Arabidopsis thaliana: one gene and its partner. The protein of the gene in region 2 interacts with the protein of the main gene of each other region in a pairwise test. Each region holds a gene or a part of one and is shown on either strand. Other genes may lie near its edges.

The links.
Region 1: the proteins of RARE1 (region 2) and RIP1 interact in a two-hybrid assay, tested with the Arabidopsis thaliana proteins (one study listed by BioGRID).

What each region holds. Positions count from the first base shown.
Region 1 is NC_003074.8:5,048,327-5,053,138, reverse strand, and holds RIP1 (cobalt ion binding protein), read right to left. Parts: upstream 2,945-4,812; 5' UTR 2,819-2,944; coding exon 2,430-2,818; intron 2,259-2,429; coding exon 2,161-2,258; intron 2,077-2,160; coding exon 2,011-2,076; intron 1,653-2,010; coding exon 1,018-1,652; 3' UTR 684-1,017; downstream 1-683. Other genes in the region: AT3G15010 (RNA-binding (RRM/RBD/RNP motifs) family protein), read right to left, coding at 1-295; DJ1A (Class I glutamine amidotransferase-like superfamily protein), read right to left, coding at 3,518-3,715, 3,805-3,945, 4,061-4,261, 4,428-4,508, 4,600-4,785. UniProt on the Arabidopsis thaliana protein: Involved in organellar RNA editing. Required for the processing of numerous RNA editing sites in mitochondria and plastids. Binds to the plastid RARE1 factor, a pentatricopeptide repeat-containing protein involved in RNA editing.
Region 2 is NC_003076.8:4,246,228-4,250,941, forward strand, and holds RARE1 (Pentatricopeptide repeat (PPR) superfamily protein), read right to left. Parts: upstream 3,081-4,714; 5' UTR 2,986-3,080; coding exon 727-2,985; downstream 1-726. Other genes in the region: AT5G13260 (myosin), read left to right, coding at 167-293, 374-450; AK-LYS1 (aspartate kinase 1), read left to right, coding at 3,289-3,690, 3,781-3,863, 3,964-4,004, 4,159-4,313, 4,638-4,714.

The DNA of each region.
Region 1 (4,812 bases), on a different chromosome or scaffold from region 2:
CGTAACTGGAAAAAAGCGAACGGAGACCTTCCGTAGTAGTATCCGCCGCGAGACCACGGATGAATAGCTTCCGCTGCGAGATATCAGAGTCGGCGGTTAATCGGACAGATTCAAGCACGTCGGGATGGCGTACGATAGCCTCTTGCAATAAGTCGAGCAGCTGATCAGTGGTGAATCGCTCGATAATCTTCCTCGCGTCTTGCGGCGACAATCGAGTTGGACCAATGGTTCCGCCACCGTTGGTATTGAGTCCGTTACCGTTCTCATCGAGCTTACGCTTCTTCATCATATCCATGGTTACAGATTTATCTCTGGAGTTATTCTTTCACCGGTAAATCCCTAATCCTTCTAGTCCAGCCGTAGAGAAAGCGAATCTGACACGAAAAAAAAGAGGGGAAAATATGTGACGGCGGAAAAACATATGAGGGAAGCGAGGGCTTTATACGGTTACGAGATTTTCCATTTTGGGCTGAAATTTAGAATGATGGGCCGGGATAAAGAACACAAAGCCCATCTTGTTACTTCACACCCGCTTCTCTCTCTCATCATCAAATTGTGTGTTCTGTCAAGTTTGTCGAAAGAAATATGATATTGATGACATTTGTCATTCTTCCTGTTATAATATGAGTATCCCATTCCCATGTAAACATGATTGGGGAATTAGAAATTAAGACTAGGAAGAAGCCAAAGAAAGACACAAAACAATAGCCTGTGGGAGACATGTTACTAAATCCCGTTTAATGCAGAACCAGGAGTGGACATAAGAGTAGCAAGCATCACAAGGAAGAACTTGAGATCGATTTAGGATATAAACTACTAAAAAGAAACGCAAGAGTGAAAAGTTCTAACCATGCCACAGTAACTTAGGCTATTCTCTCTCACATAATCCCAGACTGATAAACACTCGAGATAAAAGGAGTTTTAAAGTCTTGCTACTGCACTCTCTCTTCCTCAAATTATCTATACACAGCCCAGAATGCATGATTAAAAAGGAAACCCACGACTGCTTCAACTGCTTTAACCCTGGTAGGGGTTGCCACTGCCATCCCGGTTAGGTGGGTAGTTGTTCTGGTACTGTGGCTGCTGCATTCCACTACCCTGCTGCTGGTAGTTGTTGTTCTGTGGGGGTGCTCCTCCGTATTGAGGTGGTGGTACTGCTCCATATTGAGGTGGTGGTCCTCCTCCATAGTTTGGTGGTGGTGCTCCTCCCATGTTGTTTGCTGGTGGTGCTCCTCCATAGTTGGGAGGTGGTGTTCCTCCATAGTTCTGAGGTGGCCTCGGTCCTCCCATGTTGTTTTGCGGTGGTGCTCCATAAGGTGGTGGATGCCTTGGTCCTCCCATGTTGTTTGGTGGTGGTGGTCCATAGTTCTGCCCCATGTGAGGTGGAGGAGGTGCAGAGCCACCCATATGAGGCGGAGGAGGTGCAGAGCCACCGATGTGCGGAGGAGGAGGAGGGCCTCCCATGGGAGGACGTTGAGGAGGAGGGCCTCCTGCCATGTTCTCTCTTCTCCTCTCAAAGTTTCTGCTTCTATCATTGTTGCGAGGACGGTCATTGCGTCTGTTCCTTTCATTTGCTCTAGCATTGTTCCTTATCCACTCCTCGTGGTACTTAGGATCATAAGGAACAGCCTTCCCATCGATGAAAGGTTCCCCTGAAAGTCAATATATACAAAAACGCATCAAACTAACTCTCTAATAGGATCACCAGAAAGATTTAAACTCTCACCAAAGCAACATCACTGCGACTTCTACAACACCAGTCTCACAATAGATATCACTAAATCAAATCTAACAGATGCACCCACAATGTTAATTAACTATAAATAGAAGTCGCCCCATGTGTCAATCTAACACAAAAGCATGGAGCAAGTAACGAGTCCACAGAGCGAAGACTAGCAACAGGTAGTTTCCCTTGAAAATTTCAAACCCAGCAAAAGTATAATGGACGAGCAAAGCAACTACCCCAATTTCAAACCCAGGTTATGATACAGATAATACACTTAAGCCTACCTCCATAGTCTTTGTTCCTCACATCCAGGTAAGAGTCAGGAAGAACCCAGCGCACATTTGACAACTCTGGAGAGTTACAGAAGAAAGTTAGAAGGCAGATTATAACACAGAAATGAGGAAAACTAAAACCCAACAAAGGCAAGAGTTAACCTTTTAACTTGTGAGAAAGATCTTCTGACACAAGTGCCCCAAAAGCATAGTAGCACCTAGTTGAAACCGAGTAGATCTTCATCCTAGCTTCGTCTTCACTGAAATGTCCAAAACGAGATATATCATGTTACAGCTCCAAAAATGATCTAAGTAAACACACAGATCCGTCATACACAGTAGTGGATTTCTCACTTATTTAACCTAAAATCCCTAGAAGAACATACACAGAGAGAGAGAGAGAGAGAGAGAGTTTTGAATTGGGGATTTACCTGCCAACAATCTGAGCTAGGGTTTTGATGTAGCTATCAATGATTTCATCTCTAGTAGGCTCACCCTGAGGTGGCTCCACGACGACAAGCCAGTGCTCGAAATCGCAACCATCGAGCAGGATCGTCTCCTTAGGTGGCCTGTTCGACCAGTTGGGATTCGGGTCGTTCAGAGAAGACGATGTAGCCTGCGTCGAGAGACCTTTGACAGACACAAGGCCGCCACGGAAAACGGAGGAAAAAGCGGCGACCAGAGGACGGGACCGGCTGAGCAGAGAAGACGCCGGAGATTTGGCGAGAGGAGCAGATGAAGCAAAGGATCGCGTGAACAGAAACGAAAGAGATTTCGCCGGTCGGCAAAGAATGGATCGAGAAATGGTATGCGTCGCCATGGAAGCTCTAGATTGGGCTTCGCAGATAAAACCCTAGGAGAGAGTGTGAAAACAGATGAGCTAGAAATGAAATCAAGGGTTTTATGAGGGTTTAATAGTAGATTATGAGTCGAGGGCATTTTAGGTATTTCATAACTGAACTGGACAGCGAAATCTACGGTACTACCCCCTGATCTTATCAGATTCAACAAAATTGCCCCTATTTTACCTTAAGTTACAAATAAACACATTTTCGCCAAGAAATTAGTGACATTACTCTGTTTTCAAATGATAAAAAAGCTATTTTTATACAAGAAGAGAAGACTGAAGATTTTATTTTCACTAAATTGGTAATAATCATATTATTAAATGGTTTACAAATATGAAATATTCCAAAGCTAAACATAGGGGCAAATTCGTATTTTAGAGTTATTGTAAGGTCAATTTGGTGAAAATGTGTGACTAAAATATCTTTCTCCATAAAATAATTTTTTTCTCCAGCACACCCTCTAGCTCTTGCAGAGGTTTAAAGAAAATATCGGCAACATACATAGAAAAATCTCGTTTATTCATTTATAAAGGCATAAAGTTACACACCAATCACTAAGCCAAGCTCATATGTCATATATCATAAAGTAAGTAATTACTAATGGAGAGAGATAACTAAAAGGCAAAGCCTTCTTTTTATTCAAGCCACTCTCATACTTTCATTGTTTGAAATCACACAAGTGTTGCCTTTCCGAGCTGAAGAGCTTTCTCTCGCCCGTAAAACTTTTCGACAATGGCAAGTGAAAACTCCATTGCAGTCCCTGGAGCTCTGCTTGTTATGACATTTCCATCTACCACGACTCTGTGCTCAATGTGACTCTTGTCCGAAAGTTTGTCGCTCACCACTGGGTGAGTAGTAGCCTTCTTACCCTATACAAAACATGTCTCTTATATCTCAGTTTAATGACTTAAAAGATAGAACAAGAAACTACAATTCTAGTACTGTTTGATTTATGCACCTTGAGTAAACCATTAGGCTCGAAGACGTAAGCAGGCGATGCGCAGATTCCTCCATATGGTTTGTTTGCTTCTGCCTGTTTCCTTAACATATTAACTAGCTTCTCGCAGCTTGCGAATCTTTGAGCACCGTTAAGACCGCCCTGTAGTTCATCAAAGAAGTTGGATTATGTTTTTGGTTATTTGTCATCATAGAATATTAAAATTTAATTTAAGACTAAATAGTATATTCACATTTTGGAAGTTAGCAATACTCACAGGTAACACAATCAGATCAAACGACTTCTCTGCAACCTCATCAAGAAGAACTTCTGCTACTAGCTTAGCTTTGCGAGATCCTTCAACTTCCAAACTGTTACCAACTGCAGCAATCACTACATTTGCTTTTGCCCGCCTCAGGATATCTACAAGCGCTATAGCTTCAATTTCCTCTGACTCCTCTGCAATGGGTACGAGAATCTGAAAAGGGAAAACATTATCTCTCTGACTCATAAAAGACTATTGATCAAGAAAGACAAAAGCTTTACAACACAGCATGTTCCTAGGAATCTGTATAACGGATCAAACAAAGCCTGTCTTGGAAAAATGTTAAAAGGGCCAAGTGGAGAGGCAACTGAACATTTACCTGTGGTGTATCTTCAAATGACCAGTTTGTTTGGTTAAGCTCAGTAAAAGTAAACTCCTCACCAGGGTTAGGACGAAGCAGCTGATTTCAAAAGGATAACAAGTAAGTCTACGAGGAGGTGACATGAACACGTACCACAGCGGTTGATAAAAGAGGCAGAGACAAAACATACCAAGATACTGGAGACTTCATCAGCTTTTTCTTTCCCAAACAACTGCTCTATAAGCGTGATGGAGAATTCAATGGTGGTTCCTGGTCCACGACTGGTCACTATTCTTCCATCAATTTGCACTCTTGACTCAACAGCAGTTGCACAAGTAGCCGCAAGTTTCTCCATAAAAACAGGGTAACCCGTTGCCTGCAAGAAACCCCATGTAATAACAAG
Region 2 (4,714 bases):
TCGCTTTCTCTCATGGGCTTTTCCTTCATCTGATCCCTCCTTCATGTTCCCTTTTGTATCGACTTTTGTTCTTCTATGTATCTTTTGGATCTATTAGAGATAATTTTGTCAGCTCATCTTGGCCTTTCTCCATTCTCAAAGCTATGAAATTTGGAACATTTGGCAGGCTTGGCTCACGTACTTCTGGAGAAGAGCACAATCCCTTGGCATAGAAGTGGACACTGCGAGAGAACGTCTTAGATTTTGGATCAGCAGGAGCGCACATTCTCCATCTTCACATGACGCCATGGAAGGTACAATTTACCTTACCAAATTCCTTTTAGCCAAGAGGATTATCCATAAGACAACTCTTACAATTGGTTCTTATTTTCAGTTGAGCAAGGACTAACAGAGCTAAGAAAGCTGCGGATAGAACGTAGATTGTGGGAAGCCTCCAGGTCCAGCCAGTAAGTAGTGACCTTGGGGACCTCGGGATCCCAGAACAGTCTTGCTACCACAGCTTTAACAGTACTGTATATCGTACATGCTTTCTTCTCGTGTGGTTGGGGTACTTTGCAGTCAGAAAAATGTTTCCAGTTTTGTAAACCGAAGAATTGTATTACACGCACTACTTTTGACATATAATATATCCACGTTTTCACGTCCTAACCATCAATTTGCAGACTCATTCTTGTTGGATAAGTATTTAATGTAAAATATCTACTGATACAGACTAAAGATCATCAGTCACCAGTAATCGTTGCAAGAACACTTTCCCTCCTTGAAATGGTGAAACCTCCTGGAATCTCGGATGACGATTTCATGTCCTGTAACCAAAGATACATGCTTTGCAAACTCATGACAATCTGGGCATGCCCGAAGATTCTTGAACACCTTAATAGGTGCAGGGGCATTGCCATGCACCGATATCAGCCCAAATGCAATGGCAAGTCTCTCACTATGATCAAGAAGCTGTTCTCTTCTCTCTGTCATATTACACTGAAACATATCACCTTCCATGAAACCATCAAACTCCTTAAGCTTCTCATAGATCTCCTGAGTTTGTGGATGGTGTTTATCACCCACTATAAACCGATGAATCTTACCCTTTTCTTGGATCCAGCTGCAGCTCAGTTCCTTCTTTAACATCCTCTCATTCATTAGTTTCATCATTTCAGCAGCTTCTTCCCATTTTCCAGCCCAGGTGTACAGATTAAACGGTAGCACATATCCAGCTGTATCTTCTGGATCGAGTTGGCGAAGTTCCTCACCAGCAATTTCGCCCAGTTCAAGATTCTTATGAGTCCAACATCCACTTAGAAAGCATTTCCAGCTCATTGCATCAGGTTCAAAAGGCATATTCTTCATAAATTTGAGAGCTTCGTCTAATAGTCCCGAACGGGCATAAATGTCGATCATACAATCATAATGATCAATAGTCGGAGCCACATTATATTTTCGAAGCATCGTGTCCAAGCAATGCTTTCCCTGTTCAACTAGGCCTGCATGGCTGCACGCGGTTAAAACCGCAATAAATGTAACTGAGTTTGGCTTCATACCACAACTCACCATTTTCTCAAACAATCTCAAAGCTTCAGAGGCATTTCCATAGTAAGCATGACCTGATATAAAAGCAGTCCATGCAACAATATCGGGGTTGTCCATGGACTCAAAGACTTCATTTGCATCATCTAAGCATCCACATTTTGAATACATCGTAATAAGAGCGCTTTCTCCATACTGAGATCCAATCAGACTTCTTTTTATAGCATCTGCATGGACTTGGCCACCAATGTTGCAATCTGCAAGTACCGAGCATGCTTGGAATATGCTAGTATATGTGAATGAATTTAGAATCGATGCGTTTTTGCTTCTCAAAGACTTGAAGGTTTTAACAGCCTCCTCAAATTGACTCATTTGACAGTATCCGGAGATGATTGCGCTCCAGGAAACATCGTTTGGCTCACGGATTTCTTGAAATGCACGACAAGCAGACTCGAAGCTGGAACATTTGATGTAAAAATCAACAAGTGGAGTTCCAACCGAGACTTCAGATTCCAATCCAAGCTTAGCGACACAGGCATGAATTTGCTTGCCAAGATTAAGCTCTTCAAGAGAAGCACACGCTTTAAGAACAACTGAAAACACAAAACTGTCCCATTCAACACCTTCCGTTACCAAATCCACAAATAGTTTCAAAGCATCTCTTGCTCTTCCAGCTTGAGTATAACCTACCATCAATCCCGTACAAGCCACTGGTTTCTTCACTGCCATCTGATCGAACACTCGCTTAGCACCCACTAACCAACCACATTTCACGTACATGTTCACGATCCCGGTCTCTATAGATGTGTTGCTACATAACCCAGCACGTATAACATGAGCATGAATCTGTCTACCAAAGTCTAAAGCCCTGGGGTTTACCAAAGATTTCAAGAGTGTCGTATACATGGAAGAAGGAGGCTTGTCGCCTGACGCTAGCATTCCCGAGAACAAACCAACAGCTTTATCCAAAATTCCTTGTTCGGCGTAAGCAGATATCATCGTTGTACGAGAAACTGCATTTAACTCAGACATTTCATCGAACAGCTTATCTGCATCTTCCAAGCTCCGACACTCACAGTACATTTGAAGCACACAGTTCTGAAGAAGCACAGAAGGATTCTCGATACCCATCCGCATGCGATCGTGCAAGAGTCTCCCATGAGATAAAGACCTCAATTCTCTGCAAGCCTCAAAGAGACATTGGTAAGAATACGAGCTAACGGAGACACCAGCCTTATCCATTTCTTGCAAAAACTCAAATGCTTCGTTGAGCTTCCTATGCTTCGACAACGAAACCAAATGAAGATTCTCTACTTGTCCTTGCTTATGCGAGATTTTAACAGACGGAGAAGAAGTGCTCGACTTCAGAGAAACCCACGACGGAATTTGATCGAAATTCGCGTTCTTTATAACCGGAACTCGAGAAGAGCTAAACGAAGACTGTACAGTGAGAATCGTCATAGTTGATGGAGAAATTCTACAAAAGTTTAGAGCTTTTCCCTTTCGAGAACAAACGACAGAGAAGCAAAAAACTCAGACTTTACTGGCTTCAGTTATTGCAACAAGCCAACAACCAAAACGGGTCAAAATCAAAATCAATGGTTGGTAATAAACGACAGCGTTTTAGTACAGAGACCCGAAGAGTGGAAGGTTCAAAGTTTCCTTCTTTGGTGTCTCTCATCAAATGAGAGTGAGCCGTACGATTTCTCTCCTCTTCTTGTTTTAAAAACCTATCAATAATATTCTTCTTCTTCCTCCTCTCAAATGGCGGCTACTAGGGTTCGTTGTTGTCATAGCAATGCAGCTTTCACCAGATTGCCACTTACCCGCCACCGAAACTCGCCGACGCTACCGATTTCTCTAAATCGTGTCGATTTCCCTACGCTGAAGAAATTATCATTACCCATTGGAGATGGCTCCTCCATTAGAAAGGTTTCAGGTTCAGGCAGCAGAAACATTGTGCGAGCTGTGTTGGAAGAGAAGAAGACAGAGGCGATAACGGAGGTAGATGAGAAGGGTATCACGTGCGTGATGAAGTTTGGTGGATCTTCGGTGGCGTCAGCTGAGAGAATGAAGGAAGTTGCTGATTTGATTTTGACTTTTCCGGAAGAAAGTCCCGTCATTGTTCTCTCTGCTATGGGGAAAACTACCAACAATCTCTTGCTTGTAATGCTGAGATTCTCTCCCTTTTCTCTGTTTTCTATTCAAAGTTTTGAATTTTTTTGATTGGAATTATTGGTTTTGTTGCTAGTGAAGGCGGGAGAGAAGGCGGTTAGTTGTGGTGTTTCTAATGCATCTGAGATTGAGGAGTTGAGCATTATAAAGGAATTGCATATCAGGTTTTGGTTTCTTGTAACTATGATTAATTTGGTACCTTTGAGTATCTTTTCCTTTGTTGCTGTTGGTTTTGATCAAGAATGTGTTTTTTTGTTGTTTCAGGACGGTGAAAGAGCTCAACATTGATCCCTCTGTTATTTTGAGTGAGCATATTTTAACTTGTAGACTTTCCAACATTTGGAGCTTCATTTCTTTCTAATTCTGATAAGGCTCATAAATTTTTGATTTGTGATGAGTTTGGTAATAATTCAAGAGTGTACATGCATTGCCTATTTATATCTTGGATACATTTTGCAGCCTATTTGGAGGAACTGGAGCAACTCCTGAAAGGCATTGCCATGATGAAGGAATTGACACTTCGAACCAGAGATTACTTAGTCTCTTTTGGAGAGTGTTTGTCTACAAGGATTTTTGCTGCTTATCTTAATACAATCGGTGTCAAGGCACGCCAAGTATGTCCATCATCATATTTTTAGTTCTACTGTAATTTTCTTAATTATATTATATATCACATTTGGTTGCTTATTTAGTCAAATTGATATCTTGGTAGATTAGGGTAGAAAAGTTCAATCTAGATTTAGAAAATATGATAAACAAATTCTATATACTCTGAATTGGTCATTTAACTTTTTTATTAGTTTGGTTTCGGTTATCAAGGAACACATATTGGTGTACTTTCTCTGTTACATGCTAAACTGGCCTTGGTGTGAGCTTTATTGCACAATGATCCGGCTCGCAAACATAGCTAAGTAGATTTATCGACCATTACTTTGCAGTATGATGCATTTGAAATTGGTTTCATTACAACGGATGATTTCACAAATGGGGATATCCTGGAGGCAACTTATCCAGC